4 linked regions of the Pelodiscus sinensis genome follow. The protein of the gene in region 3 interacts with the protein of the main gene of each other region in a biochemical or structural test. Links are inferred from orthologs where the notes say so. Each region holds a gene or a part of one and is shown on either strand. Other genes may lie near its edges. The genes, in order: NXF1, NUP88, NUP98 and NUP155.

The links.
Region 1: the proteins of NUP98 (region 3) and NXF1 form a complex in vitro, tested with the Homo sapiens proteins (5 studies listed by BioGRID and IntAct). The link is inferred for Pelodiscus sinensis from reciprocal best matches to the Homo sapiens genes NUP98 and NXF1.
Region 2: the proteins of NUP98 (region 3) and NUP88 form a complex in vitro, tested with the Homo sapiens proteins (2 studies listed by BioGRID). The link is inferred for Pelodiscus sinensis from reciprocal best matches to the Homo sapiens genes NUP98 and NUP88.
Region 4: the proteins of NUP98 (region 3) and NUP155 form a complex in vitro, tested with the Homo sapiens proteins (2 studies listed by BioGRID). The link is inferred for Pelodiscus sinensis from reciprocal best matches to the Homo sapiens genes NUP98 and NUP155.

What each region holds. Positions count from the first base shown.
Region 1 is NC_134721.1:36,439,610-36,447,046, forward strand, and holds the start of NXF1 (nuclear RNA export factor 1), read right to left. Parts: upstream 3,307-7,437; 5' UTR 3,163-3,306; coding exon 3,132-3,162; intron 2,672-3,131; coding exon 2,470-2,671; intron 2,105-2,469; coding exon 1,939-2,104; intron 354-1,938; coding exon 270-353; intron 1-269.
Region 2 is NC_134731.1:25,946,951-25,954,657, reverse strand, and holds the start of NUP88 (nuclear pore complex protein Nup88), read right to left. Parts: upstream 3,323-7,707; 5' UTR 3,286-3,322; coding exon 3,087-3,285; intron 2,981-3,086; coding exon 2,949-2,980; intron 735-2,948; exon of another isoform or gene 1-734. Other genes in the region: RPAIN (RPA-interacting protein), read left to right, coding at 3,414-3,491, 4,739-4,885, 5,552-5,615, 6,521-6,635, 7,240-7,303. UniProt on the Homo sapiens protein: Component of nuclear pore complex.
Region 3 is NC_134711.1:325,796,376-325,803,877, forward strand, and holds the start of NUP98 (nuclear pore complex protein Nup98-Nup96), read right to left. Parts: upstream 3,241-7,502; 5' UTR 3,084-3,240; intron 1-3,083. UniProt on the Homo sapiens protein: Plays a role in the nuclear pore complex (NPC) assembly and/or maintenance. NUP98 and NUP96 are involved in the bidirectional transport across the NPC. May anchor NUP153 and TPR to the NPC.
Region 4 is NC_134716.1:105,219,849-105,227,597, forward strand, and holds the start of NUP155 (nuclear pore complex protein Nup155), read left to right. Parts: upstream 1-4,387; 5' UTR 4,388-4,461; coding exon 4,462-4,597; intron 4,598-5,258; exon of another isoform or gene 5,259-5,278; intron 5,279-6,663; coding exon 6,664-6,801; intron 6,802-7,749. Other genes in the region: WDR70 (WD repeat-containing protein 70), read right to left, coding at 4,241-4,280.

The sequences.
Region 1 (7,437 bases), on a different chromosome or scaffold from region 3:
GGGCACTCCCATCCCTGCAGCACTATGGCTTGGGAAGCTTGGGCACAAGGAGGAGGACTGACTCACCCAACCCTGCATAGCAAGTCTGTACCAGCGACAGAAAGAAAGCTCAGAAGTCAGTCTGAGTTCTCAGGCCCTGAGACTCCATTCCTTCACAGAGCCTGGGACAGAAACCAGGAGCCCTGACTCCCTGATCCCCTTCCAAGAAACAGGATAGAATCCAGTTCTGAATCTGTCTCCCTAGACAGATATCACAGTGCAGCTCTCACCTCCACTGGAGTAAAGGGGACAGCGGACATGTTCTGGAGAGAGCTCAGAAGCCATGACTTTTCATACTTCTTTCCATAGGGAATCTAGGAAAAAAAGGCACTTGTAAGTGGCATGTAAGCTTGCAGCAAACTATAGGACTGGGAGCAAAGGAGGTCTCTGGGAACAGTCCCATGGGTGCATCAACCAATGGGCAACAGGGTCCATCTCTCCTCTCAGCCAGAGAGCTGCCTGCTGGCCAGATACCTGGCAACCAACTGGACATTGTGCCCCCTTCACAAATTAAGTCAGAGTGTCCATGCAAAGGTGAGGTGGGGTGTCCTGATAGTTATTCTACTCCAGGGGTGGAGAACCTAAGACACAGGGGCTGGATGTGGCACCCAGCTTGCCTGGATCCAGAGCCTATGCTGGCGCTCCAGCCCCCTGCTGCCTCCCCATGAGGCCAAAGTGCACAAATCTACTAGCCTGGGCCCCACAAGGCTCTGGTGTGCGAGGGGAATATGGGAAGTGTCTTTTTCTCCTCCTCAATCAGGGGCCACATCAGTGAGATTTGGTTTTGGGATGGTTGGGTTTTTTTGCTTCTCACTTGTGTGCTGCCCCCGACTGATTTTACTGTGGGTCAGTAGCTCCTGACCCAAAAGAGGTTCCCTGCCCCGGTTCTATTACATTCAATGATGATAATCATTCGGTGCAAGCATATGCTCCCCGCTGTATGCTGCACTGACTCTGCACTATGGATTTAAAATGTGAAGTTTAACTAGTTCATCAATTAAGGTGAGGGGCACTTCAGCCCACACACACACCCAGGCCCTTGCCACGGCCAGAGCTGCCCCATGCCTGCGATGTGCCCAGACCTGCCACAGACAGGGCTCCAGCCCCCACTAGTTAACTAGAACTGGTAAGCATCACCTGTTAATGGTGATGCCTACCAGTTAACCTTTCACATCCCTACTCTGCACAGGTAGCCAGGACAGCAGACTCCAAGAGAGCTCCCAAAGACCACAAAATCCAATAAGGATCAAAGACACCAGGCCAGGTTTATTGTCAAACAAAATACAATAATAATTATCCATAGACTTTATTAAACCACTACACATGTGTACACCCTCACAATGAACTCAGAGTTCAATTAATGGGAGGTCCCACTGCCTCCTAGGCAGGACAGAGACAGCCCCACCAAGACACATCTTTATACACAGGTACAAACAAGTTACCCACCACTACTGATGTATCTGGTTGACACCCGCTGTCATTACCTAGGTACCACCCATTACCTTGCATCTGGTGGCTCGATCAAAAACATCTCTAGCCATCATGCTGTCAATTTAGACCCTTCATTGAACCTGGGTCAGAATGTCCCTGTTATCTGTGGGGAGTGTGTTGGTACCAAGATTTTTAACAAGATGTCCTGTTACTATCCCTCTGAAATGTGCTTCCAGCCTGTGCCTAATATCAATTAGTGTTTTACGGCTTGGACCTGCCTTTTGCTCACAGATTAACTTTGCTTTATTTATATTAGCAAAATCTTGATTATTGTAGGTCAAGCCTCAGGCCTTATAATAGGCCTGTGGCTTATACTTTAGACCCTGATCTTACTGCACCAGGTTAACAGGCTGTGGGGTAGGGATTTGGCCACATTCCCTGCTCCCTCCCTCACCCTCTGGCACTCACTGTGACCTTGTACCACCTCCTCCGGTTACTGTTGCGAATAGCACTGGCACCCCGGTCCTGGGAAGTGGGCTCTTGTTTCACTGTGACATGGATGTTGGTGGCACCTCCCCGGCCCCGGTTGTGCCAATCATCACCTCGCCTGTTCAGCCGTGGCCCATAGGGAGCACTGGGAAGCAGAGGGACACAAGCTGTTAACATTAAAAGGATGGGGAGGATACTTTGAAAGCTAATGAATCCAGAAACACCTGCTTGAACCCTGTGGTCCTCGCTGCATTGGGATGAAATGTCTACAGCAGTCCCCAGACACACAGGCCCCACTTATCCCCAACACAGGAACAACATAGCTTTCCCTAGTACCCAATCAAGGGCTAAAATGCTGCTAATGCCACCTGGAGGGAAAAGCCCCATATCCCATTCCTTCCCTCCCGCCACCAACCAGCTCCCCCCCGCCCTTGGGACCTGACTAAAACTGGCATCCCAACACCCCGAGGCACTCCACCACACACAATGCCAACAGCACTTCTTACTCACTATCTAGTTCGAAGGCTGTCATGGGCGTCACTCATGGGAACATCTCCATCACTCTCCTCCACCTGACCAGAAGGACTATGACCTGCTACACCTCGGTTCCAAGAACGGTGGTTCACTTCACTGTACATCTTGCCTCGGAACGGGCCCCGGCCTTTTCTCCTTCTCCCAGAGAAGCCCCCACCACCCACACGGTCGTCATGTTCTGTTCAGAGGAGCAGAAGGGGCATCAGACACCATCCAGGAACTTTCCTCCTTGAATGCTCAACACATGGCAAACCACCTACAGGAACCCCTGGACCCTCTTGGGCCCTGCATCAGTAGAGATGAGGAAATCCTACTGATCTGCCTATTGCCACCACAGGGCCCCTCCCCCCAGCCCTTCGACTGCACCCATCCCCCCAGAGCCCCTGGGCTGGGAAACGGGGGGGGGACCGGGGAGGCTCCCAGAAATAGGGAAGCCAGATCCCAACAGACTAGCCCCATGCAGCACCCCCCCCGAGACTCCACAGACCCCCCAGAACCCACCCCAGCCTCCTCCCCACCCCGCCCTCAGACCCCCTCCCCGCCGGACCCCATGGCTCCGCCCCCACAGACACCACCCCCACGAGTGTCCACAGGCCTCAGCCACAGCCCTCCCCGACCCGCGTCACCAGCCCCCTCACCGCTGTAGCCCCCTTTCCCTTCCTCTGCCATCGAGGGGGGGCTTCGCGCGCCGCTCCTGGGCGGGGGAGGGGAAGGAAAATCTCCTACTTAGCCGAGCGGGGGGAACCAGGCAACCGATTCCACCGCTCGGCTCCGCTGCCCCAGCGCATGCGTAAACAGCTCCCGGAAGGTGCGCATGCGGTGGGTGGGACAACCGAAGGCATTGCGCATGCGTAGTTCAGCAGCTCATGAGTACAGGGCGTCCGACACTTTCCGTTGAGAAGATACGCGTGCGCCGAGTTACGCCTCCCCTTATTTGCTTCCGAGGAGGCGGAGCTATTACGCATGCTCAGAAAAGCCCGACCTCTCAACGCGGTTGAGAAAGCTGGGCTGCGCATACTAGCCAAGCGCCCCCTTGCATTGCAGGGCGGTAGCTGCTGGAAGGATGGGTTCCCAGGGACGGAGTTCTTCTTAGGCCGCGGGTTCGAATCTGTCCTGCAGCGACCGCCAGGACCCTCCCCCCCCGCAGGGGAATCTGCGTTCAAGTTGCATCTGAACAAAGAATGTGACAGAGCGACCCCTTCTATCTCATTATCTGCCTTTGCTCCTCTTCCTTCCCCCATCCCTAAGGTCCTGGGTTCAAGTTTCACTGGGGATCCTGGTCTACATTTGGTGGTTGCAGCAGCCACCATCTGCCTCAGTCCCCGGGATTAACCCCAGTGCAGGCACCCAGTTTCAGCAGCCAGGAGTGTTATTATTATTCCTTCCCCTCCTTGCACTGCAAGACACACACGCTCCCAGGGGGCCTCAACTGTGGCAGAAGATCCTGCTTGCCCTGTGCTCTTCTTGTGCTGGGGCTGATGTATATCAGAGGGATGCTATTCTAGCAGTCAAATCCAGCTTCAGGGGCAAAGGAGGTGTAGAAAGGTGTGAGGGGTGGCAGAAGCAGCCTATCTCCAGTGCTGTGTGCCAAAATTAAGATACGTGCTCCCAGGATGAGCAAGTACAAAGTCAACCCTTTCTCCACTTGCCATTTCACCCTCAGTCCCTGGAGGCAGGAGATCAAGTAGAAACCACAGGTTTCATTTTAACATTACCCTAAGGTTTCTAGCCCCCATGTTTGGAGAGAAAAGATGAAAATCATTATCAGAGCCCAAAAATGATTTTATAAAATAGAAATCTGGTGATTTTTATGGAAGGAAATTCATGATTTTTTTAAGAACACAAGAGCAGCCATACTGGGTTAGATCAATGGTCCACCTAGCCCAGAATCCTGTCTTCCAACAGTGGCCAATGCCAGGTGCCCCAGACAGAATGAACAGAATAAGTAGTCATCAAGTGATCCCTCCCCTGTCACCCCGCCCTAGCCTCTGACAGAGACTAGGGACACCTTTCCTACCCAGTCTAGCTAATAGCCATTGATGAACCTATTTTCCATGAATTTATCTAGTTCTTTTTTGAACCCGTTAAAGTACTTGTCTTCACAACATCCTCTGGCAAGGCGTTCCAAAGGATGACTCTGTGCTGTGTGAAGAAATGCTTCCTTTTGTTTTAAACCTGCTACCTATTAATTTCAATTGGTGACCCCTAGTTCTTGAGTTATGGGGAAAAGTAGGTAACTTTTCCTTATTTACTTTCTCCACACAAGTCATGATTTTATACACCTCTATTGTATCCCCCTTGCTTAGTCTTCTCTTTTCTAAGATGAAAAGGCCCAGTCTTTTTAATCTCTCTTCATATGGCAGCCATTCCAAACAACTAATAATTTTTGTTGCCCTTTTTTTGAACTTTTTCTAATGTCAAGGTATCTTTTTTAAGATGAGGCTACCACATCTGCACACAGTATTCAAAATGTGGGTGTACAGATGTGGTAGCCTCATGGATTCATAGAATACTAGAACAGGAAGGGACCTTGAGAGGTCATCAAGTACAGTCTCCTGTACTCCCAGAAGGATCAAATATCATCTAGATCAGGGCTACTCAACTTTGGAAGCCCCGGGGGCCACATTGATACTCACAGCACATGCCGAGAGCTGCAACTTAAGTGTGGTTGCATATACATGCAAATAGATATGCAAATAGCTTATTTCACACTGATAGGCATGAATACAAAGATTAAGCCTTAAGCCATGGTGCTGGACCCAAACATGGTCAGTGTGAGCCAGTCTGCACTTCTCAGGCTCTGCCGACAAGGTTAAGCAGCCAGCACTTCCCACAATGCCCCAATGCTCCCAGCACCTCTTCCTGGGGGCTAGAAATGCCAACACCCTGTACCAGTCAGTTCCAGCCAGCCCATCTGCTTGCATGCTTCGATGCTCACCCTGCCTGAGATGCCTCGCCATCGTGGAGCATGTTCCCAGTGGAGGCCATGTTCAAAGCATCCCACTTACGGGTCAATGTTGAGCTCTGCGTAAACCCAAACTACATCGCAGGCCTCAAATGGGGAATGTGCTGCAAGTGGCTCACGTGTTGAGTAGCCCTGATTTAAGAATCATTTCCGATAGATGTCTATCTAACCTGCTCTTGAATGTCTCCAATGATAGAGATTCCATAACCTCCCTAGGCAATTTATTCCAGTGTTTAACCATCCTGAAAGGAAGTTTTTTCTAAGGTACGTCTACACTGCACACTTTGTTTTGAAATAAGCAATAGTTTCGAAATAGCAAGTTTACACTGCAGGGAAGCCTCAAAATGAGTCCAAGGCCGGCTTCCCTAATGTAGACGTGCTATCTCGATTTAGAGCTGCAAGAGGCACTGGGGAAGAATAACCTAGAATGGCCCTGGTGAGGGGCTATTTCAAAATAGCAGCAGTGGAGCATGTAAGCATCTACACATGTCTTATTTCAAAATAGCTATTTCAGAATAGCCATTATTCCTCATAGGATGAGGTTTTCAGATTTCGGAATAAGGTGTCTGTTATTTCAAAATAATGGAATGGCTGTGTAGACACATTGTTATTTCGAAATAACTCTAGTTATCTCGAAATAACGGTGCAGTGTAGATGCACCCCAATGTCCATCCTAAACCTCTCTTGTTGCAATTTAAGCCCATTGCTTCTTGTCCTATCATCAGAGGTCAAGGAGAAAAATGTCTCTCCCTACTCATTACACCCTTGTAGGTACTTGAAAATTGCTAACACAGGGGTGGCCAACTCATTCTGGGCAAAGAGGCAAGATAGCAGTGGATCCAGCACAAAGAACCGGAGCAAAGCTGTCGAGCAAAACAAGACAAAAAAAGTCTAAATAAGGCTCTGCCCCTTTAAGAAACTGCATTTAAATGCATTTTGAGGTTTCTTGGCCACAGCAGGCTCCTGCTGCCTTCCACCATCTTTATTTCTGCAGCTTTCATGGCTGCTCTGGAGAGCTCCCCTGCCCAGCAGGGCCAGCCTGAGCCCTTTTGGTGCCCTGGGCCCAGGCGCACGGCCCCACCCCCCCAAGGTGCGCAGGCCTGCCCCCGGGGCACATGTGCTGCCCAGCCCGGCCCAGCCAGCGTTGCTGGCACGCGTGCTGGGCCGTGCAGGGCCCCGCGGCCGTGGGGGGAAGGGCACTGCTGGCCGGCTCTGCAGGGCCAGTGCTGCGGGAGCCGGGCACGCGGCGCCTGATGGCAGCTGTAAGTGATGCTGCGCGCCCCTTACAGCTGCCATCAGGTGCCCCTCATCAGTTGACGCCCCGGGCAGCTGCCCAGCTCGCCCATGCCTCAGTCCAGCCCTGCTGGATGTGGCTCACAAAACACCCACCCACCCATGACTTGAAAGCCACCCCAAAAAACAGTCCTCTCCTGGCTCCCTGTGCTGACCTGGGCAGCAAGGCCGGACTCAGGTTGGCCTCAGCTGTGCTAACATATCCCCTCTCAATCTTCTCTTTTCCAAACTAAGACCCAGTTCTTTCAGTCTTCCCTCATGACTCATGTTCTCTAGACCTTTAAGCATTTTTGTTGCTCTTCTTTATACACTCTCCAATTTCTCCACATCTTTCTTAAAATGTGGTGCCCTGAATTAGACACAATACTCCAACTGAGGCCTAATCAGTGCAGAGCAGAGCGGTAGATATTATCTGGCTCATTCTCTATCCCTTTTTTAACGATTCCTAACATTGTTTGCTTTTGTGACTGATGCTGCATATTGAGTGATGTTTTCAGAGAATGAGCCACAGTGACTCCAAGATCTCTCTCTCGAGTGGAAATAGCTAATTTAGTTACCATCATTTTGTACATATAATTTGGGATTATTTTTCCAATAGGCATTACCAAGATTAAAATTCATTTGCCATTTTGCCAATTCATTTGGGGGAGGGATAGCTCAGTGGTTTGAGCATTGGCCTGCTAAAC
Region 2 (7,707 bases), on a different chromosome or scaffold from region 3:
TGTTTTGGGGAAAATTTGAGACTTGCAAGCAGTTACAGAGAGTACTGGAAGTCAGAACTGGAGTGGACTGGGGTGTTGCTAGTAGGGTGCTGGTGTCAGAGTTAGGGATATAAGTAAGTAGTCAACTAGTCGACTACCTGATAAGGCTAGACTTATTGGATAGTCAAGTCCACTACTCACATTTCTTTCCCCGCTCTTTGCTGCCTCTGTACTGGAGACAGCAAAGGGTGGGGGGGGGGGGGCAGAAAAAGTCGGTTTCCCCCCAGCACTATCTCCATGGTGCGGTGCTCCTCCCCCCACAGCTGCCTCTAATAACAGAGGCAGCAGCCCGGGGTGAGGCAGGCGGCACCAGGGAGATAGCTGTGGGGAAGCTCCGGCAGCAGCCCGTCTATGTAGGGTCTCAGCTCAGCTGATGCCGGGTCTGGGACCAAGCCCTGCTGCAGCTCTGTAATTTAAAATACAGTAGGAACTGGGCAGCCTGCCCACCTGGCTCTGACCACATTTGAAATGCAGAGGTCCTGCACGCTGTTGGGCTGTCTGTGAGCAGCCCAGGTGGGAGCAAAGACAGTGAAGCATGTGACGCCCCCAATGTTACAGGTCAGATCGTGTGGCCCATCAGACTGACACCCTGCCTAGTAATGGCCTAGCCCCCCCCGCTGCATTGCCCTCCTCAAGTCCCACCCGATCCAGCCGAGCCCTCCCGCCGGGTATCACACTCCCCTGCCCAGAAACTGGTACCAGCCCAATGGACTCTGCACCAGTCTCATGCCCTCCCCCGCAACTGGTACCAACCCGGCCCCCTGGGCTTCTCCCCACACAGACACATCCCCCACTGCCCAGTACCTGATACCAGCCCAGCCCCATGGGCTCCATACAACCTCAGACTCCTCCCCGACCCCCCCCCCCCGGTACCTGGTACCGGCCCAGCCCCGCAGCCCCCCCGCCCCTCAGACCCCCCCCGGTACCTGGTACCGGCCCAGCCCCGCGGCCCCCCCGCCCCTCAGACCCCCCCCGGTACCTGGTACCGGCCCAGCCCCGCGGCCCCCCGCCCCTCAGACCCCCCCCGGTACCTGGTACCGGCCCAGCCCCGCGGCCCCCCGCCCCTCAGACACCCCCCCGGTACCTGGTACCGGCCCAGCCCCGCGGGCCCCCCGCCCCTCAGACCCCCCCCGGGACCTGGTACCGGCCCAGCCCCGCGGGCCCCCCGCCCCTCAGACCCCCCCCCGGTACCTGGTACCGGCCCAGCCCCGCGGGCCCCCCGCCCCTCAGACCCCCCCCGGTACCTGGTACCGGCCCAGCCCCGCGGGCCCCCCGCCCCTCAGACCCCCCCCGGTACCTGGTACCGGCCCAGCCCCGCGGCCCCCCGCCCCTCAGACCCCCCCCCGGTACCTGGTACCGGCCCAGCCCCGCGGCCCCCCGCCCCTCAGACACCCCCCCGGTACCTGGTACCGGCCCAGCCCCGCGGGCCCCCCGCCCCTCAGACCCCCCCCGGTACCTGGTACCGGCCCAGCCCCGCGGGCCCCCCGCCCCTCAGACCCCCCCCCGGTACCTGGTACCGGCCCAGCCCCGCGGGCCCCCCGCCCCTCAGACCCCCCCCGGTACCTGGTACCGGCCCAGCCCCGCGGGCCCCCCGCCCCTCAGACCCCCCCCGGTACCTGGTACCGGCCCAGCCCCGCGGGCCCCCCGCCCCTCAGACCCCCCCCGGTACCTGGTACCGGCCCAGCCCCGCGGCCCCCCGCCCCTCAGACCCCCCCCGGTACCTGGTACCGGCCCAGCCCCGCGGGCCCCCCGCCCCTCAGACCCCCCCCGGTACCTGGTACCGGCCCAGCCCCGCGGCCCCCCCGCCGCTCAGGCCCCCCCCCGGTACCCGGTACCGGCCCAGCCCCGCGGCCCCCCCGCCCCTCAGACCCCCCCCCGGTACCCGGTACCGGCCCAGCCCCGCGGCCCCCCGCCCCTCAGGCCCCCCCGGTACCCGGTACCGGCCCAGCCCCGCGGCCCCCCCGCCCCTCAGACCCCCCCGGTACCCGGTACCGGCCCAGCCCCGCGGCCCCCCCGCCCCTCAGACCCCCCCCCGGTACCCGGTACCGGCCCAGCCCCGCGGCCCCCCCGCCCCTCAGACCCCCCCGGTACCCGGTACCGGCCCAGCCCCGCGGCCCCCCCGCCCCTCAGATCCCCCCGGTACCCGGTACCGGCCCAGCCCCGCGGCCCCCCCGCCCCTCAGACCCCCCCGGTACCCGGTACCGGCCCAGCCCCGCGGCCCCCCCGCCCCTCAGACCCCCCCGGTACCCGGTACCGGCCCAGCCCCGCGGCCCCCCCGCCCCTCAGACCCCCCCGGTACCCGGTACCGGCCCAGCCCCGCGGCCCCCCCGCCCCTCAGACCCCCCCGGTACCTGGTACCGGCCCAGCCCCGCGGCCCCCCGCCCCTCAGACCCCCCCCGGTACCTGGTACCGGCCCAGCCCCGCGGCCCCCCGCCCCTCAGACCCCCCCCGGTACCTGGTACCGGCCCAGCCCCGCGGCCCCCCCGCCCCTCAGACCCCCCCCGGTACCTGGTACCGGCCCAGCCCCGCGGCCCCCCCGCCCCTCAGACCCCCCCGGTACCTGGTACCGGCCCAGCCCCGCGGCCCCCCCCGCCCCTCAGACCCCCCCCGGTACCTGGTACCGGCCCAGCCCCGCGGCCCCCCTGCCGCTCAGGCCCCCCCCCGGTACCTGGTACCGGCCCAGCCCCCCCCCAGTACCTGGTACCGGCCCAGCCCCGCGGCCCCCCCGCCGCTCAGACCCCCCCCCGGTACCTGGTACCGGCCCAGCCCCGCGGCCCCCCGCCTCTCAGACCCCCCCCGGTACCTGGTACCGGCCCAGCCCCGCGGCCCCCCCGCCCCTCAGACCCCCCCCGGTACCTGGTACCGGCCCAGCCCCGCGGCCCCCCCCGCCCCTCAGACCCCCCCGGTACCTGGTACCGGCCCAGCCCCGCGGCCCCCCCGCCTCTCAGACCCCCCCCGGTACCTGGTACCGGCCCAGCCCCGCGGCCCCCCGCCCCTCAGACCCCCCCCGGTACCTGGTACCGGCCCAGCCCCGCGGCCCCCCCCGCCGCTCAGGCCCCGCAGGCTGAGGGTGAAGAAGGCGCCGCGCTCCGCCTCCCACAGGAACAGGTCCGCGCCCAGCCCGAAGAGCAGGCTGCGGGCGGGCCCGGGGTCGGGCCCGGGGGCGCCCCGCTCGCGCAGCCGGCACAGCACGGCGTGGTGCGGCAGCGCCGCCCGCCACTCGCCCGCCGGGTCCTCCGCCGCCATCGCGCCACCCCGGAACAGCGCCGGCCGCCGCCAGCCAATCAGCGCGCCGGGCGCCTCGGAACTACCGCTCCCAGCGCGCCCCGCGCGGGACTACAAGTCCCAGCGCGCCCCACGGCCAGGCTGGCGGCATGGAGGCGCCGGGGCAGCAGCGCCGCGCTCTCTACAAGGGGCCCGCAGCCCCGCCCTGGAAGGAGACCTACCGCCGGGTGAGCGCCGCCCCGTAGAACGCGGGGGAGCCCGGCGTTCGGGCCCTGGATACATTGTAACGATTTCCCCGCCCCGGACTCCTCTAGCCCCCTGGGTAGCAGCGAGCGGGCAAAATGAGGCAGGAGGCACCTGCCTGCGCTCAAGCCTCAAACATCAGGGCTGCCCCACTAACACCGGGTCCCCCTGTCTGCCAGGGCTGGATGCAGTAGAAGGGGGGGGGCTCCACTTGGCATGGCCCCCTGTTTTGCCAGCTACTGCTGGCAGGAGCGAGCCCGGTGGCAGGATTGCTGTGCTCACCGGCTGGGAAGTGGGTGGGGAGACCTGCTAAGCTATTAATGGCATTCCTGTTAAGTACGCTTTGCACCATCTTCCAGCCAGAGAAACAGGGCTTCTATCAAGTGTAGGAATCGAATCCAAGTGGTCTAGCTACCCAGGCCAAAGCTTACACATTATGTCTCCCTAACACCATTTTCAAACAGATATGAGTTGGTCAATGCTTAATTTCAATGGCACCCTGAAAATTATACAGAAGGAAGAGTTGCATGTTAACCTGTGTGTCTTAGTGGCAGTGGGGTGGGAGGGGAGCTATTCTGGTTGGCTGGCTGCCCAAATCTCCTGAAGCTCTGTAGGGTTCCAAAATAAGTTTCCTAGGTTTTTCTAGCCAGTAGGATAACTTTGAGAAATAAATATTGTGAGGCTCTGATTTAATCTCAGTTCTCCTACACCCTTACCACCAACTGCAGATTATTAAAGGGGCGGGGGGAGGGGGAGGGGAGAATATATACAGCTGGCTGATGGTAAAACAAATAATGTCTAGCCAGAAGAAGCCAAAGAATTGCCAGCCAAGTATGTATCTGAACACACGTGAGGGTGAATATAGTAAAATACCATACAAATTTGGTCCCTATATGTTAAAGACTGGGTAGAAAATACAGACCTTTTCCCCCATCTTACCTTCTGCCTGGAGAACTGGGATCCCATCTGCCCAGCCAAATTGAATTGCTCTTGGTCTCCTGTAGTCCTGTCTGCTAATGGTCTAGGAGCCTGACTAGGTCTCTGGTTCCATCCAGCTGGCTGGTGGGGCTTCCCCAAACCATGTTGGTATTACAATCCTATAATTGTTCCGTTTTCTTCAGTTATGTCTGTGAGCTATAAAATCGCAGCATCTGGTTGCCCTGTAGTCCAGCTGAAAGAAAAGACATGATGCTAATGTATCCTGCATCATTTATTTTCTCTTTTCTCAAAGCGCTGTGTGGAGAGACTTAAAAACAGTCGTGCCAAGCTGCTGGATCGATATCGCCAGGCTGGGGAGAATGTGCATTGCAATGCCAGGGGTGCTCTGGTGCAGGAAGTGATGGAGGAGGAGTGGCAGGCTTTGCAGGCGCTGTCTCAGGTCAGTGTGCTGGATTCTTGCACATCATCTCAGATCTGCCCTATACACAGCTTCCCTGCCTACCAATGTTACAAACTGCATCTCCATCCTCAACCATTCAGGAGCTTCAGGGGGTAGCTGAGAGAGTCTGTTACAGAAAAAAACAGCAAGCAAATGGTCTGGTAGGACTTTATAGACTAACAAAACACATAGATGGTATTATGAGCTTTCGTGGGCACAGTCCACTTCTTCAGATGACCGGAGTTAACTGCTTGCTGTTTTTATCCTCAACCATGAGATTCTTGTGACTTTTGGGTGATGGTTTTTGTGCCTGATTTTGAAAGATTAGTGTTATTTGTCTAGTAGTTTCTTGGCATGGGGATAAAATGCTGAGGTTTGACCTTAACAGGGAGAGGGGGCAGAATTTGCTACCTTGTCCATGCACAAACAGCTGTTTCACAGAGGAGGGGAAACTGGTCAAAGGAGTCTGGAAACCTCTGCTTGCTAACTGCAAACAAATGATGCAAATTCAGGAAACTGTCATTGCAAAGTCAGCACAGTCATGTGTTTGATTACACTGGATTGTTTGTGTATTTCAAAACAATACTGTCCTGTTGGTGCTATGAAATAATGCCCCCCGTCCCCCACTTGCCTAATGAGAGGAATACTGATTGATGTACATTTCAGGTGTGGGAGGACCCTGATGAACAAGCAGTACTGGAGGAAATCCAGCAAGAGTTGATTTTGCAAGGTAAATTTTCAAAAAAAAATTACATCTTGACCTGTTAATAGACCTAACCTGAGTCATTTTTAACCTTCCTGAAATCCTTGTCATCCATTTATTTGAAGCCGGACTTTCTTCTTGGCTCAGAAATCTCATGCTTCCAAAAGATTCTTTTTAAAAGTCTATGATCTCAGATGCTTTGGGATCCTGGCAGGTGGCTGGTTGTGATTGGAGATGTAACAAAGCAATGCTACCAAAGAATTGGGAATTAAATCATGGGATGTGGAAAGTGCCAACAAAGGACATGAGTTTTAGCTTCCTTCTGAAGGGTTGGAAGGCCAATTGCTGGATAAGCAAATTTTCAAAAATGCTCCAGTATTTCCATTAAGAATAGAAAATGTGAAGGTTATCTCTGATATGAAATAAGAGTTCCTGAACCCTGATAATATATAAAGTATTTGATTTATGGCTGTCTCACCCTAATTTGACTTTCCCATGAGGAATCATTGACCACATGACAATCCTGATTGCACACACATCCTCTCTTGTATCCTCTGAAATAATCTGAGCATAGGACTGGGATCCAGAAGCTTCAGGCTTAGACACTCTTTGACCTTGGGCAAATCACAATCCATGTTTCCCCATCTATAAGATAGGGAGATGTAAGGTGCGGTTGATTAATGCTTGTAAACTACTTTGAGATCTTTAAATGGAAGATATAATGGGCAGAATTAGGTTAGCATCCTCTTTTCAGTGGGCATCATGAGTAAAAAATTAAGTCAGAATTCCCTAAAGAAAAACAAGTTAGAAATACTGACAAACCCAGTATTTCTCAAATCCAGCTCTCTGAATAGCCATAACAATTTTATCTTGACAAGTGTCTTAAGCCAGTAGCCAGTGACAGCTGGTTTTTGTTTTCTGGGCTTGAACAGAGCAGTTGACCATACAAGAGTATGAACGGAGTCTACAGTTTGACCAGGAGTGCTTCAATGCAATCCTTGACGGCTTGGACACAGGCAGCAAGATTACCTGTCCAGTGTGTAAAAGGTGAGACGGGTTCCTATCACTACATGCTGTATGTTAACTACCTTACCCTCCAGTAGACCTTCTGAATTCAGCCAAGTATGTAATGATGTTCTCAAAGCCTAAACATTTTAATGCATTCATTTCTAGCAACTGTTGATTGGCTGATGAAATCTGGCTTCATTCATTCTTGCTGTAATAAGAGGTTTATGGATCTCTTCACTTAACACTGGTATGCAGCCCGCTGTGGAACTCAATACGCTTTTTAACAGCAATATTCTGTAAGACGAGCAGCTCCCTTATGTTTTGTGCAAAGTGTGATTTGTACACTGCAGCTTTATGCCTCTCTTAAAGCTTGCTATAAGAGATTCTGAAGATAAAAAAATCCATAAGTAGTACAGGGGATTCTGCATTGAGATGATAGCCATCCTCTGTCTGGAGACAGTTTGGCCTCTTCCTTGAGGAAAAAAATCAGACCTCTTTCTCTAGTAAGGGTTTGATTGTAACAACTGTTCAAGAGGCACAAATCCTGTGGGAGATGCTTCTAACATCTAATTTCAGGCCTGATAGAATTCAATGTTCTCTTCTCCTTTAGGGGTGTCTAACTCATGCTTTGTTCTGTTTCTAGGAATCATCTGACTGTGACAAGTCACTTGGTTTTATGCCAGTGTGGATTATACATCAGCACACAGGTAAACTCTACCTGAAGTGTTGTAGTTCCTTAGTTCTGGGCAAAGTTGCCCTTCTTTCAAATGTTGCTGATGTCGGTCATTCATGTTTTCATGCCCCCGTCTTGGTCCTCTTGCACGTGCTTAATGGAAAGGTGGCTCAACAGAGCTGTTTTCAAACTGTGGTTTGTAGAGCCCATCCTAGAAGTATGCTGAATGGAATGGTTGTAAAACTAAGCAGCAGGGGAGTGGGAGCAGATATGGCCCTATGTAATCTCACTCATCTAAGCATCATGTTAAAAAAAACCACACCTGAGAAAACCCCATGTAGGGAAAGCTTGCATCTGAAGTAAATAATCTACCATATGAGCTGTGTAGTCAGAAATGCTAGTTCTGAGAGTTAGGTAAACTTGCTGCAAAACTACTGC
Region 3 (7,502 bases):
CTGCACTTGCCAGCTGGCAAAATCTACTCACCACGGGCGAGCGCATTTGTCGAGCCCTGCCAATTATCTTTTCTAGTTTGAAAAAACAAAACAAACCTGCAGCTTCCAACCATGTTCCTGAGTCAGTCAACCAATTTCTCTGAATTTAGTTGAAATCAATTACTGTTAGCAGATTTTTGCCTTGTTCCAACTAGGCTAGAGACAAAGGCTAGTAGTACAGATTGGACCTCCCTGGTACAGCTGACCCGTCTCAGACAAGGGTTTTCCAGACCAGTGAAGGGAGAAGGCAGGAGGCACACAAGCTACCTGCCACTGCTGCCCCGGCCCAAGGGGTTCCAGCAGGTGCCCTGAGACCCACTCCCCCTTCCCTAGCCACCTCAAACCGTAGTCTATGGATTCTGCCGAGCCAGAGTGTCCCGGACCACAGGTTCAACCTGTATATCCTTGTTATTTTTCCTCATTATACATTGAAAATAAAGTATGTTTACTTTCTATTGACCTGATAGTTAAGTTTTGCCATAGTTCCCATACACTGACAATCAAAAGTGCTGCATCCGCTTCTATGATTTAACTTCTCTTTCCCCGTATGGCTTACAGGTGACTGCTACCATTGTCAAGAGACCATTGCCATCTGAGGTCTCTTGACACTTGTCTTTCCAATTCTCCCTTGCACCGAATGCAGTAGCTTCCTCTACTACTAAGATACCTTCAGTTTATCTAACCGAAGGGCTTCTCAGCTTCTGCTAACATACAACTACAGGCAGTCCCCAGGTTACGTACAAGATAGGGACTGTAGGTTTGTTCTTAAGTTGAATCTGTATGTAAGTCGGAACTGGCATCCAGATTCAGCCGCTGCTGAAACTGACCTGCGCTGACTACAGGAAGCCCGAGGCAGAGTTGCTCTGCCCCGGGCTTCCTGGAATCAGCCAGCTGATCAGTTTCAACAGGCTGAATCTGGACACCAGTTCTTACATACAGATTCAACTTAAGAACCCCAGGCGTCCCCAAGTCAGCTGCTGCTGAAACTGATCAGCGGCCGATTCCAGGAAGCCCGGGGCAGAGCAACTCTGCCTCGGGCTTCCTGTAGTCAGCGCTGGTCAGTTTCAGCAGCGGCTGACTTGGGGACGCCTGGGGCAGAGCTGTTTGGGTGCTGCTGGGTTGCTCCAGTAGCGCCGCTCCTCGGCGCTACTGGACCAACCCAGCAGCACCCAAGCTGCTCTGCCCCAGGCGTCCTGATTCAGCCGCTGCTGAAACTGACCAGCGCTGACTACAGGAAGCCCGAGGCAGAGGAGACCAGGGAGACAGGCAGCAAACCCCGTTCGTAACTGCGGATCCAATGTAAGTCGGATCCACCTAACTCGGGGACTGCCTGTAATCTATCAATTTTCATTTTTAAACCAGGCTCCCTTCAGCAGGAGTTGGAGATAACCGACTTTCCCCATCCTCCCTTAAAAGTATTCTTGTATCTAAACCTAACTAAATCTTCTCTTAGATGAACATTAATCCACCCTTCCATGTAATTCTTCTTCCTTGTTTAAAAGTTATAGTACCATTCTTAACTAGTGAGCAGCTAAAGAGAAGAAAAAGTTGTATTCCTTCCCTATCTCCCACCGCATCCCATCTGTAGCTTTAATCATAGAATCATAGAATAATAGGACTGGAAGGGACCTCAAGAGGTCATAGAGTCCAGCCCCCCGCCCTCAAGGCAGGATCAAGCTCCGTCTACACCATCCCTGACAGATGTCTATCTAACCTGCTCTTAAATATCTCCAGAGAGGGAGATTCCACCACCTCCCTTGGCAATTTATTCCAATATTTGACCACCCTGACAGTTAGGAATTTTTACTACACAAGTCACTATTGGCTAAGAGTTTATTTTTGTATCTTTTATGACACCAAGCACATTAAATCTTAAATGATTTCCAGGGCCTTGCTGGAAGTTCCCCATCTCACTCGTGCTACAAAATTACAGTAAAACTCCAACAGTCCAGCATCCAATAGTCCGGTACTCCTGATAGTCCGGCATCAAAATGGCAAGAGCCTAATGAATGAGCTTCGGCAAAAAATGAGTTACAAGGTAACAGCAGCAGCAGCTGAACTGAGCAAAAAGGGTAAAAAAAGGCTTAAAAAAAACTAAAACATTACAGTATACAGTCTGTACAATAAAAAGGGTTAAGAACACTTTATATACAGTATATAATGTATACTATGTGTGTGTGTGTGTGTGTGTGTGTATATACACACACACACACACAACCATCTTATAGTACCTCCTGATAGTCCAGCATATCCAATAATCTGGCACCACCTAGGTCCCATAGGTTCTGGATTATCAGAAGTCTACTATACTCTTACCTCTGGAACATCCAAAAACACAATAGCATCTGAAATATGAGGCTAGTCTCCCCAACAGAGCCCAACACAAAGGGATAATTAATAGTCTCCAAACCATCCTGGCTGATTGGGGGGTGGGAAGGGAAGAGAATTCAGAGTTCAGAGAGAGAAGTCCTAGCGCTGCCCTCCCATTGACTATGTCAGCAGACGGTGAAACTCAAGCTGTTTTCACCGGACACACTGCCTGCCACGAGACTATTAATAATACACCACTGCACCATCCACACACCTCACTCTGGGGAGTCGCCCGCCTCGACCCCCCCCCCAAAAGTAACGCCCCCCCCCCCACTTCGGGAGGGTGCCCATCACCAGGCGCATCCCGACCATGGGGCACCCCAAAGACAAACCCCGGGCCGCCCTAAGGGGGTCACCGCCAAGCCCGCCGCGCTCTGGGGGGGGAGGAGAGGAGACAGCCCTGCCACCATCCCTCCCCCACGCGCCTATCCTGTGCCCCCAGGGAGCCCCCCCCGGGCTCAGCAGCGCGCGCGCGCACTCGGGCACGCAGCAACCTGGGCAGCCCCCACGCGCCAGGCCGGAGCGCGCGGGGAGGCCTCGCGCCCCCCTGGAGACCAGCCCCGGGCGGGAGGAAGCGAGGCGCGCGGCCTGCGCGGCGGCCTGGGGCGAGCCGCGAGCGGCAGAAAAGCGCCGGGCTCCGCTGGAGAGGCCGCGCGGCCCCGCCCGCGCCTTACCGAGGACCCGGGCCCCGCGACGGGAGCGACTCGACCGCGCCGACAGCAAACGGCACCGCCACGACGCCCACCCGTCCGCCGTCGCCTCACAGGAGGGGAAACTGCGTCACACTCCGCTCGCGCTCCCACCTCCCGCCGCCGCGCCCCGCCTCCCCGCGCGCCCTATTGGCCCGCGTAGCCCGCCGTTCCGTCCGCCTATTGGCTGCCGCCGTTTGAAACCGAGGCAGGTCCCGCCTCCGCCTGGCTGCCTCCGCTGATTGGCGAAGGGGACGTTTCGAACGTCACGAGCGACACGAGTTCTCATTGGTCAACATGAGAGCGGTTGGCCCAGACTCCGTCCTCTTCCAGCGGCGCTCTTCCCCACATCCGGGTCATTGAGTCACCTCTCTAAAGGGCGGGGAAAGAGGAGGGGCTTAATCCTGCGCCCGCCAATCACACGGCAGCACCACGTTACCATGGCAACCGGGGCTGGGCCTGTGTTTTCTTGGGGAAAAGACATGGGCCACGTGGTCCGGGTGCCTTCCAAAGTAACCAGCCAGCAGCTCCCCTTGTGTGTCCCTGTCCCTGGCCTGCCCCACAGTGGGCACTGCCCCAGCCCTGCTACCAGACTCTCCCTTAGGAGTCATAGGCCCCAGGGCAGTACTATTACACTGGTGCCCCTCTGCAGCGGGGATGATGATTTTTGTAGAGATGTGATTTTATAATCTCCAGCAACTCTCTCGTGAAATACTTTTAAAACAGATTTTAAACTAAGCTCCTGCAGACTAACACAACTGGTTCGATGTCTTCATTACCACTTGGATAGGCTCCGTGTTGTGCTAATCGCTCTGGCAGGCTTTTTCACTTTTAAGTCAACTAGATCCTCTCCTGAGAAAGCAGAGCCACAGAACAAGGATGGGAAGAGACAAGTGGGTGAACATTAAGACTAAGTGGTGCCCCAAATTTTCAGGTGCCCTTCACGGCCGCGTATTCTGCATATGGATAAGGAGAACCCCTCCTACTGCTTCCCACTCAGCCAAACCCACACCCTAGCCTCTGGCCTTCATTACCTTCCCCATTGCAACCTCAGCCTGTGCTGCCTTCCCATAGCCTCAGCACACTACCACATCTAGTCACTGACTTGTGCTGCCTTTCCAAGGAAGCCCTGTAATGCAATGCCCCTGCCAGAGCTATTTTTGCAAAAACAAATAAGCCTCAACCGCAAAAGTGGCTAAACAGGTTTGATTTCAATGGGGCTACACCTGGTAAAGTTAACTGTGCATAAAAGCTTGCAGGAGGGAGTTCTTTATATTCTCAGCTTCTTGGAACAGGGGCCCCACCTGCTTTTCACTGTGTGCTGAGCAAAATAATGGTGTTTGTGAACTAATGCAAGTGTTGTGATAGTCATATTGATCCCAAGATATTAGAAGGCAAGGTCAGACCAGCTTGGTCCAATAAAAGATACTACCTCACTAACGTCCCCTCTAATCTTTTCCATCCATGGGTAGATTTTTCCCATCTGTATGTGGAATAAATGTTATGTGCACTGAGGCATGTGCATATGTGCACCACCAGATTTTATACTGTTTTCTTTGGTATTACTAATCTTATTTCAGAGCTGGGGACACTGAGACATGGTGCAGAGAAGTTACCTACTCAAGGTCTCACATAGTGAGTCAGTGGCACAGCCTGGGAACACCCAGTCCCAACCCCCAATCTTTTGTTTGAAATATATAGTAATCTGCATGGAACTTGGAAGGAGGATTGTGGTTTGCAAGAGGGAAGAATTCACCCTCACATGGGGACGGGAGGGGAAAGATATACTTAACTAGGGTCTGGAGGCCAAGAGGGGCCTAGCTCAGGCTACAAATTGTGGTATTTGTGTGGGAGAGGGCCCATGTTACAAGTTTGTACTGGGCCCCCCAAAAATATGCTGGGGTCCTGATTCAATCTTTGTACATGGCTGGAAATGTTGGTAACATCAGAGCCTCCGTAAGCAGGTCTATTAATTAAGGACTGTTTGAGACCTGAGTAACAATGGTTAAGACCTTGCTAATATCAAGCAAAGCGAAGTTGTGAGCAAGAGGCAGGCTCCTGCTCACAGAACTTGGCAACAACAAGGCCAAGAGTGTAAAAAACTAATTAGTAATAAGCACAGGTGTAGAACAGTAATTGGCACTAGTTACAAGATGTAAAACAGTAATTGGTACTAGACATAAGTTGAAAGCACATTCAGGAAGGATGGTAACAACACCTCCTTAAAAAGGATCTTCGTACCCACACACTCCCGACAGATACCAACTCAGGTTCAGGAAATGGGCTAAAATGACAGCATAACGGATAGAGATATTCTAATTGAACCATGAGGTGCAGGGTGATGCATGTGTAACTCTTCTGCCAGGTAGGCCCGGCAACAACCGGGGCTGGGTTCAATATCTAGGGGTCCATCTCACACAGAACCGGCTCGAGCCCCCACTCAGTAACCTGGGAAATTCACACACCCCTGGGCACCTCTGAGAGACAATGCTTCCCCACTCGCAAGCATAGAGTCTGAGTGTAGGAAAGAAACATTTAATGAAAGAGAGAGAGAAGTCATACGGCATTAACTTGGAAAAATACCACAAACAGAGTTCACAGCCCAAACGTGAGCTAAGCCCCACTCCAGCCAAGAATCACCCGAAGTCCCAAAGTCCGACACCCCAAAAGTCTCTGTCCCTGCTCAGTGCCACGTAGAGTCCAAAAGGTCACCTGCAGGGTTTTACCTCCCAACCTGGGTGGAAATGGGGGCAAGGAGATAGATAGTGGCATCTTACATGGTCCGAAGCTAACGGCCCCACCTCTCCGTAGGGTTCTGCTGCAGTCTTTAACGCGAGCCGCTCCACCAGCTGTCTCGTTCCACTCCACCGGACGCTCCGCTGGTCGCCTGCCGCTGTTCCTACCGGCCGCCTGCCAGTCGTTTCCACCAGCCACTCCACTGGCCGCTTCAGGTCCTACTAGCCGCCCACTGCTTCACTGGCTGCAATGGGTCTGGCTCCCAGCCAAACCAGTGATTTCAGCTCTTAGTGATTTCAACTCTTTAGCCACCACCTCGACTGGCAAAGGATTCCAGCTTCCATTGGATTAGCAAAAAGAGTCGTCATGGAGTCTGCTTTAGGTCTGTCCTTAAAACGAAGGGCTGTGTCTACACTGGCGCGTACTTGCGTGAAAATGGCCTCTCTTGCACAAAAATATGCCACCTGTCTACACTGGCCACATGTTCTTGCGCAAGTAAACTGACATTGTACTGTAGAAAATCAGGGCTTCTTGCGCGAGAACTCTGACGCTCCCTCTCAGGAAGAAGCCCTCTTGCGCAAGAGCTCTTCCAGAAGAGGCCAGTGTAGACAGGCCACATGAATTCCTTGCGCAAGAAAGCCCTATGGTTAAAATGGCCATCAGATCTTTCTTGCGCAAGAGAGCGTCTACACTGCCATGGATGCTCTTGCGCAAAAGCTCTCTTGTGCAAGAGTTTTTGCACAAGAACTCTTCCGCAAAAGAGTTCTTGCGCAAGAAGCTGCCAGGCTATGTCTACACGGGCAGCTTCTTGCGCAAGAACTCTTTTGCGGAAGAGTTCTTGTGCAAAAACTCTTCCAGAAGAGAGGGTCTACACTGGCATGTGCTTTTGCGCAAGAGATGTGCTTTTGCCCAAGAGCATCCATGCCAGTGTAGACGCTCTCTTGCCAAGAAAGCTCTGATGGCCATTTTAACCACAGGGCTTTCTTGCGCAAGAAATTCATGTTGCCTATCTACACTGGCCTCTTGCGCAAGAACAATTGCGCAAAAGGGCTTATTCCTGAGCAGGAGCATCATAGTTCTTGCGCAAGAAGCACTGATTTCATACATTAGAATGTCAGTGTTCTTGCGCAAGAACATGCGGCTAGTGTAGACAGGCAGCATGTTTTGGCGCGAAAGCGGCTGCTTTTGTGCAAGATTGCACCAGTGTAGACACAGCCTTCTAAAAGAGCTATTGCACAAAAGGGCTTCTTCCTGAGCGGGAGCATCAGAGATCTGGCATAAAAAGCACTAATTTTATACTTTTGGGCTACGTCTACACTGGCATGATTTTGCACAAATACTTTTAACGCAAAAGTTTTTGCGTTAAAGTATTAGTGTGATGGCGCGTCGGGGTTTTCCCGTCTCCTGCACCCCCGTAATGGCACAGACAGACTCCACCAGCCAGTAGAATAGAGAGAGTTTATTGCTTCTCCAGGATACAGCACAGCACATATGTAATCTGGTTACAGGGCAGACCTAGGATGCCTCAGCCCCCCCTTGAGATGGGGGAGCCTGGGCCCCTAAATCCCAGCCCGTTGCCTAGGCTGCTTCCTTCATGATACCAGCCAGAAACCCAACTAACTCACTTCCAGCCCTGCCCCCAGCCAGGGCTCCACTCTCCTTCTTCCC
Region 4 (7,749 bases), on a different chromosome or scaffold from region 3:
TTTAGCACCCACCGTTCTGGCACCTCTCCCATAGCAGTCACTCCTTGGCATCTGCTCCTAGCTACTCCTTGTTGCAGGATTGAAGATGCACTAGGAATCAAAACAGGAGCCACTGCCACCAGCAGCACATGAAGAGGAGATCTGCCAGGAGTTGATTGGCCCAGCTACCATACACAGAGGCTACGTCTACACTGGCCCCTTTTTCGGAAGGGGCATGCTAATTTTGAAAGTGGGAATAGGGAAATCCGCGGGGGATTTAAATATCCCTCACGGATTTAAATAAACATGTCCGCCGCTTTTTTTCTGGCTTGGGGAAAAGCCGGAAAAAAAGCGTCGAGACTGGCCCGATCCTCCGGAATAAAGCCCTATTCCGGAGGATCTCTTATTCCTACTTCCTCCTTTGAAAAAGGGGCCAGTGTAGACGTAGCCAGAGACTTCCAAAAGCACCAAAGGACTCTCACAGCAGTCCCTGTGAGTTGTGCACTTGTGTAACTGCTCAGGCAAGATTTAAATGATGCCCAACTGATTAGCAGTGTCCACAGCTAGGTTAGCTAGGTTCATGTTTCTCCTAGTGGTGCACATAAATGCATTCTGCTCATGGATGGAAAAAAAAATCTGCACATGAATTGAAAAGATTAGCAGGAACATTGCTCTCCTAAGCCTTAGCCCTTGAGAAGCAGCTCTACTGAAGAAACAGCTGCACACAATGTCACAGCCACAGAGACAGTGCTCGATGGACTACAATCTCTGCCTTTGCGATAGCACCCAAGCAGGCTGCTGTTTACCCAGCCAAACTCATTACCCCCTCCATGTCCCCAAGTTATCCTTTATAATACCCCTTCCCCAATATAACTCCTGCATTTACAAGTCCTTGGCATCATCCTCCCTAATCAGGTTCTGAAGCTGGGCTAGCTGAAGAGAACTCAATCTAAATGTTTCCAGCTAACAAAGGTACAAATATAGGTTCAAGATTTGGGAAACTTGCACTCTAACAGATACTACAATGATTCTCTGAGGCACCAGCTAGCTCAGACAAATTCTTCCATCCTCTTAGCTGTGAATAAACTGGGGAGTGGGTCATCAAAACTACATAGTACCGGGCATCAAATTTTTCACAGTCCTGAGAGATGTAACTAGGTCTACCTGAGCAGACCAGGTCTGTGTTCAAAGGGACTGGGTTATAAAGTGTATGGTCTAAGATTTCCAATAGAGTTTAAGGGAGACAGATGCCAAGTATAGGAGATGTAGTGAAAGCCCAAAAATTTCAGTGGGCAGGACATGTTAGGAAGACTGACAAACTGAGCATCTCTTGGAAGACATCCTTACAGTTTCCAACACTGTGACTGGTCAAGGAGAAGATGGAGGGAATTAACATTGTACAAGACCTAACAGCCCTTAATGTACCAATGTGTTGACAGAAAGAGGGAGAAATGTGTTGACAGAAAGAGGTGAGTTGAAGCCCTCACTTTAACTCCAAACTTCTGACCCAGCCCTGAGCCCCTCATCCTCAGCCCTACCCTAGTGTACACCCCAGTGCATTCCAACTCTCTGAACTCTCCCACGGGCTTAACTTCTCCGCCCACCTCTCTCCTCCACAGTTGTGTTACATGCACCAGTAAGAAGGAGATGTGTCAGATATCACCACCATACTGGTGCACAATACAAAATTCATTCTGCATGTGTAGGAAAAATTAGAGGGTCATCATCTAATGTTTAGAGTCATCATCCCACATTAAACAGTTTTAGGAGTTGGTACACAAAGAACTTAGCCTGATTAGTACAATAGCAAATATTAAAAATTTTAACCTTTCATTTAGATACTGGAAAAAGAGAAACAGCTAAAATATTTGAAATATCAAGTACAGTATTAAGACTTTCATTTTAAGTACAATTTAGAATGTTCATATCCTCCTTCCCCTCCACCCCCCCATAATTTTTTAACTGTGATTTTTTTAAAAAGACCTCAAAAACTTATCACTTTTTAAAGTTTTGCTTATAATTAAGATTAATTTCTAGACCCAATTATTACGATAGCACTAGGAATGTTAAATATCAGTTAACTGAATAGACAAGTAACAGCATGAATTCTTATTGGTTACTCGACTATTCTATAGTCTGCAGGGGCAGGGCCAGGAGCCAGTGCTCTCCAGCCCCACTCCTAAGGGACACCCTGCTAACCCATGCTGCTGCCTCTGTATCAGAAGCAACAGTGCAGGGTGCCAGGTGGGAGCTGGTCCATGAGGGGAGCCAGTTTAAAAGTCATCTCCTCTCGTAGAACGGCTGCCTGTTTCCCCATGCTTCTACCTATGATACAGAGCCAGCAGCGCAAAATGGCAGCAGATCCTGTCCAGGCGGGGTGGAGCTGAGCTACTGGACCCAGGATGAGCCGGAACTGAGCCAAGCTGCCTGCTCACCTAGCTCCTAATACACTTTAAAGGCAGAGCCACAGCAAGGGGTAGGTCCTGGACAGTCACAAGCCAGGACTGATCCAGGCTGCTAGCCACCCTTCTAAAAATGTACTGGCATGGGAGGTGGGGAATGAAAGTAGTCTCTATAGCATTAACCAATAAGCTTTTGCTTATCGGTTAATCAATTACAGTATTACATCCCTAGACAGCACTTAGCTCTCAAAGTTAGAATTTTTCAAAGCTTACTTATGTCTTAATTAATGTATTATAATTCCTTTGATAAGAGTCCCACAGTTTCATAGCCCTGTGTTAACTTTTTCCCATTTATCATCTTCTAGTTAAGGGAAGAATAGTCTTGGAATAAAGGCATTAACTTGTGATTCAGGAAATGTAAAATCAGTTCCCAGCTCTGCCACAGACGTCATGCATGACTTAGGGCCCCACCAGATGTATGGTCCAGTTGGTCAATTTCATAGGTTTTTAAAAAGCAGTAAACTATTATTTCAACTATTTAAACCTGAACTTTCACAATTGTGTAATTTTAGGGAATCTGACTCAAAGGAATCGTGTGGGGGAAGAAGAGACAGGTCCGCTAGGTTATTATGAGGCAGGGGGGAGGGGAAGAGGAAGGAGAACAACAACACTGCTACCCATACTTCTGCTGCGCTGCCTTCAGAACTTGTCAGCTGTAGAACGGTGGCTGCAGGCCAAGCGCCCCATTGGAGAGATAAGGATGGCATGGTAAAATACTACCATCCTTTCTGCACTGCTGCTTGACACCCACCTCTGAAGATGGGATTACAGAATTAAAAGTAGTATGGCATAGTAGTGCCACCTTTACTCATGGGCTGCTGCTCACAGCTGCTGCTCTCCAGCAGCCCAGATCTGAAAGCCATGCAGAAATAAGAGTCTCAAAACTCTAAACTCACCCCCCCCCCACACATTGTGAACTCTTACAGCAGTGTTTCTTAAACTATGTTCCGCAAAACACTGGTGTTCCGTGAACAACTCACAGGTGTGCTGCAAATTCTTCTTTGTTTTTGTCTTCTTCTGTCTGACAACAATTTTTTTTGAAGAAAATGTTCATAGGTGTTCCGCATTAAAAAAATATATATATTATTGTTCAGCGTTCTGTGGTCTCAAAAAGTTTAAGGAACACTGCCTTACAACAACTCCTTTTTGTGCGAGGGCCACCAAGTTGAGGAACACTGGTCTCTCCTATGAAAAACATGTAATATGTAGGAGAAGAGAGGGAAGATGGGAACACACAGAAGAACAGATTTCACAGCGCAGGATGAATTTGTCATGGCCGTGAACTTCGTAGGGGCCTATGGACAAGTTTATTAATTTCTCAGTGCCTTAGTTTGCTCACAAACACCACAAGGGATGAGAGTCCCTTGCTCATCTCTTAGCACGAGTACTGAAAAGTAGGCTAAAGAAAACGTCTTGTTGTGTGTATGCAGAGTGCCTGGCACCACAGGGTTCCAATCTCCTAGCACGAGCGATAGAAATAACAGCCATGTGGCCGCACCTTAAAGCCTCCAAGCCGCGTACTTCAGCAGGTACGAACAATACACTGCGGACTCCTGTCACAGACTCCTGACACCTCTCCCGGTTGAGCACAGCTCAGCCTTCCGGCTGAGAGCCGGGGCACATCTGCGGGAGAGCCACGGGGCGGAGGAAGGCCCAGTGACGCCGCGGGGGAGCCCGTCGCGGGGTCTAAGCGCAGGTGGGCATCGGGGGACAACGCGACCCAAGAGGATGAGAGTTCCCGAGCCCTGCTCCCCCCGCCCTGGGCTCTCGGGGCGTCCTCCTCCGCCTTCCCCACTCACAGGACGCCTCGGCCGCCCCACCGGCCTCCTCTGCTTCCATCGCCGGATCTTCGACTGCCCACTCGGCTCCGCGGCCACCAATTTAAACTTAACCCTTGCCTGCGGGGCGCCCCCCCCCACCGGAAGTGAGTGTCCGTGAGGCGGAAGTGCGTCAGACGCTCCGCCGCGCTGGCTGTTGGGGTTTGGCGCGGTCCTGTCCCTGTCTCAGGCCGCTACTCGCGATGCCCGTGGCCATGAGCCCGGCCACCCCGGCCTTGCAGGAGGCGCTGGAGAACGCGGGCCGCATCATCGACCGTCAGATCCAGGATGATCGCTGCTACCCCGACCTGTCCGAGCTGCTGGCGGTGCCGGCGCCCGGTGAGGAGCCCTGCGGGCCCGCTCGCCGCTCTGGTCCCCAGCCCAGCGCTTCCCCCTCCCCTCCACGGACGGGTCGGCGCCCCCGGCTCATCCCCCTCGGGACTCGGTGTCCGCGCGCTACCCCTAGGCCTTTTCGTGGCGGGGGGGGGGCATCTGCTTGGGGGCAGCCGTGCCAGAGCGCCAGCGCCCTCCCCCTGTGCGCGCCTCTGCTGCCTTCTTCCTGGCACTAGCGCCCCACGGGCAGACACCTCCTAGCCAGACCGGCAGCGCGTGGAGCACTGGCAACTCCAGGGTCCCCAGCCCCTGTGAGGAGTCGTTCAGATTATGGTTGTGGAAATGCTTTGCCTGGGCTCGCTCATTGCGTGGTGTCTGAGCCAGAGCCTGAACAGCATATGCCTTGCACCTTTATAGCCCTGTAGCTATAGCCCAAGCACTATGAGCCGATGTCAGTTGACGTAGGGTGTTCTGTTGCATTGTAGATATATCCTATGAGCTTCTTTATTGTCCACAGGTGATTAAGGATAGCACTGACACTAAGAAATTGCCAAATAATTCCTGAACGGTTGCCTTAAAGTTACCTTGTTGATTGCCCATATATTCTCCATGTATGTTGAGAATTTGCCTCCTTTTGTGTTTCAGTTCAGTTACCTTTGATGAGTTATATTTCTGCCTTGTCAGGAGGTCAGTATATTAATTAAGTTAAAACACTCTCGCTACGTCTACACTGGCATGATTTTCCAGAAATGCTTTTAATGGAAAAGTTTTCCGTTAAAAGCATTTTCGGAAAAGAGCATCTAGATTGGCATGGACACTTTTCCGCAAAAGCACTTTTTGCGGAAAAGGGTCCGCGCCAATCTAGACACGGTTTTGCACAAAAAAGCCCCGATCGCTATTTTAGCCATCGGGGCTTTTTTGCGCAAAACAGTACTGTGCTGTCTACACTGGCCCTCTTGCGCAAATGATTTGCGCAAGAAGGCTTTTGCCCGAACGGGAGCAGCACAGTATTTCCGCAAGAACACTGACGATCTTACATGAGATCGCCAGTGATCTTGCGGAAATTCAAGCGGCCAGTGTAGACAGTTGACAAGTTTTTCCGCAAAAGCAGATGATTTTGCGGAAAAACTTGCCAGTCTTGACACAGCCCTATCAATACTTTTAAATGATCCTATAGTAAGTAATGGCACTGGGATTGATTCCAGTAAAAAAAGGAGTAAATGCCTCCAAAGAGGGTAATCAAATAAAAAAGGCCATGATCTTTCCACTTTTTGTGCATAGGCAGATGATACACATCTTTTTTACTCTTTAAGAACACACTTTTTGAAAACTTGTTTCACTAACATAGAGCATAAACTAATGTACAACAATTTTAAAATGAAAACATGTCAGAAGTTAGTGAACTGTCAAATAGGTAACCAAAGGAAAAGCAAGACCATGTTTACGAAGCTTAATAGAGAATCATTTTTCTTGGCCTGATAAGATTCTTCTCACAAAAGAGACTCTTGTTGACTTCAGCCTAACTTCCTTTTGTTGCCAGGAAAAACAATATTTCAAATGTAAACTTGAGTATTTATAATAAATAGAGGGGACTGTATTTCACTTGTATTATACCACTGTAGTATGTGAACAGTTATTGAGAGCCTTTAGGATGGAAGGTGCTATAAGCATATTTATTAGATTTTTAAAGCCAATCCACCAATTTTAGGAGTACAGTGAATGTTGTATTTGTTTTATTTATATAAAGTTTATATTCGAGATAAGGCTTTAAAGACTTGCTTTTAAAATTGTGAAAAGTCACTCATTTAAAAATGCTTTATACATATTTTGAATGAGCTGTTGTACTCTTAGTGCTGTGGTTTGAGAACTTTATAGTTTGTCCATTTATCTGAAATAATCCACCAAAATTAAGAGGAATTTATACTAGTCTAATTTAGATTTAATAAATATGAATGCTTGCTAATTCAGATATTGGGGCAGGGGAAATCTATTATCATGTACGTGTTATTTTTTGGCTGATATCTTGTTTTACATATGACATTTTAAAGTGTATTTCCTTTTTTTAATTGCAGGTAGTCCCACAGTTTCTGGTATGTCAGATATGGATTATCCTTTGCAAGGACCTGGTTTGCTCTCAATACCCAATCTTCCAGAGATAAGTTCAATCCGCAGAGTCCCACTTCCTCCTGAGCTAGTGGAGCAATTTGGACGTATCCTAATAAAAACCACATATTTCTTTGTGTGTATAATAATGTTATAAATGAATGTTTGTTATTTCATAATATTTTGACCAAGATTCTTCAAGTACCTTTCCCTGGATGTATTCTTATCCGTCATTGGAGTCCATAGGACTCTTAAGAGGTAAAGTTATTTCAGCAATCAGCAACTACGTGTAATTTTGATACTCAATGCCAGTTGGGTATTATTATCATAATGATCTTAATACATTTAAAGGGGTCTTCATAAGTTACTGGTAAAATTTAAATGTTTTTAACATCAAGTGGAATAACGAAGTGTTTTTAGGGTTGTCAAACAATTTAAAAAAACATGTCAGATTTAAAAATAGTTGTGATTAATTGCAGTGTTAAAAATAGAATACCAGTCATTAAAATATTTTTGGATGTTGCCTACTTCTGTGCCATGCATGTCACATGATGCTTACCCGGCAGCTAAATTCTGGCTCCATGCTGTCACATGAGGTCTACATCTTGCCAAAGCCCAGGGCCATTCCGCAGCCCACTGGATACTTCTGGCTCACCTGGGGCACCGTATCAGATTTTGGTTTGTGTGAGATTGTGTGTTGTGAGTGTATTAGCGTGATGTGCAACAGTCTCAGCACACTAAAGGCACATCTACATAGCAGGGCTACACTCGAAATAAGCTACGCAACTTGAGCAACGCTAATTGCATAGTTTAAGTCGCAATAGCTTATTTTGACTTTTGGCACTGTCAACACAGCTGTTATTTCAAAATAGAGCACTCTTCCCCTGACTTCCCTTACTCCTGATACATTGAGTTTTACAGAAGTTGGAGTAAGAAGCCCATTATTTTGCATTTATTTCAAAATAATGTGCTTGCTGTGTAGATGCACACTACATTATTTCAGAATAACTGACATTCTTCTGAAATAAAGCTGCTGTGGAGACATAGCCTAACTG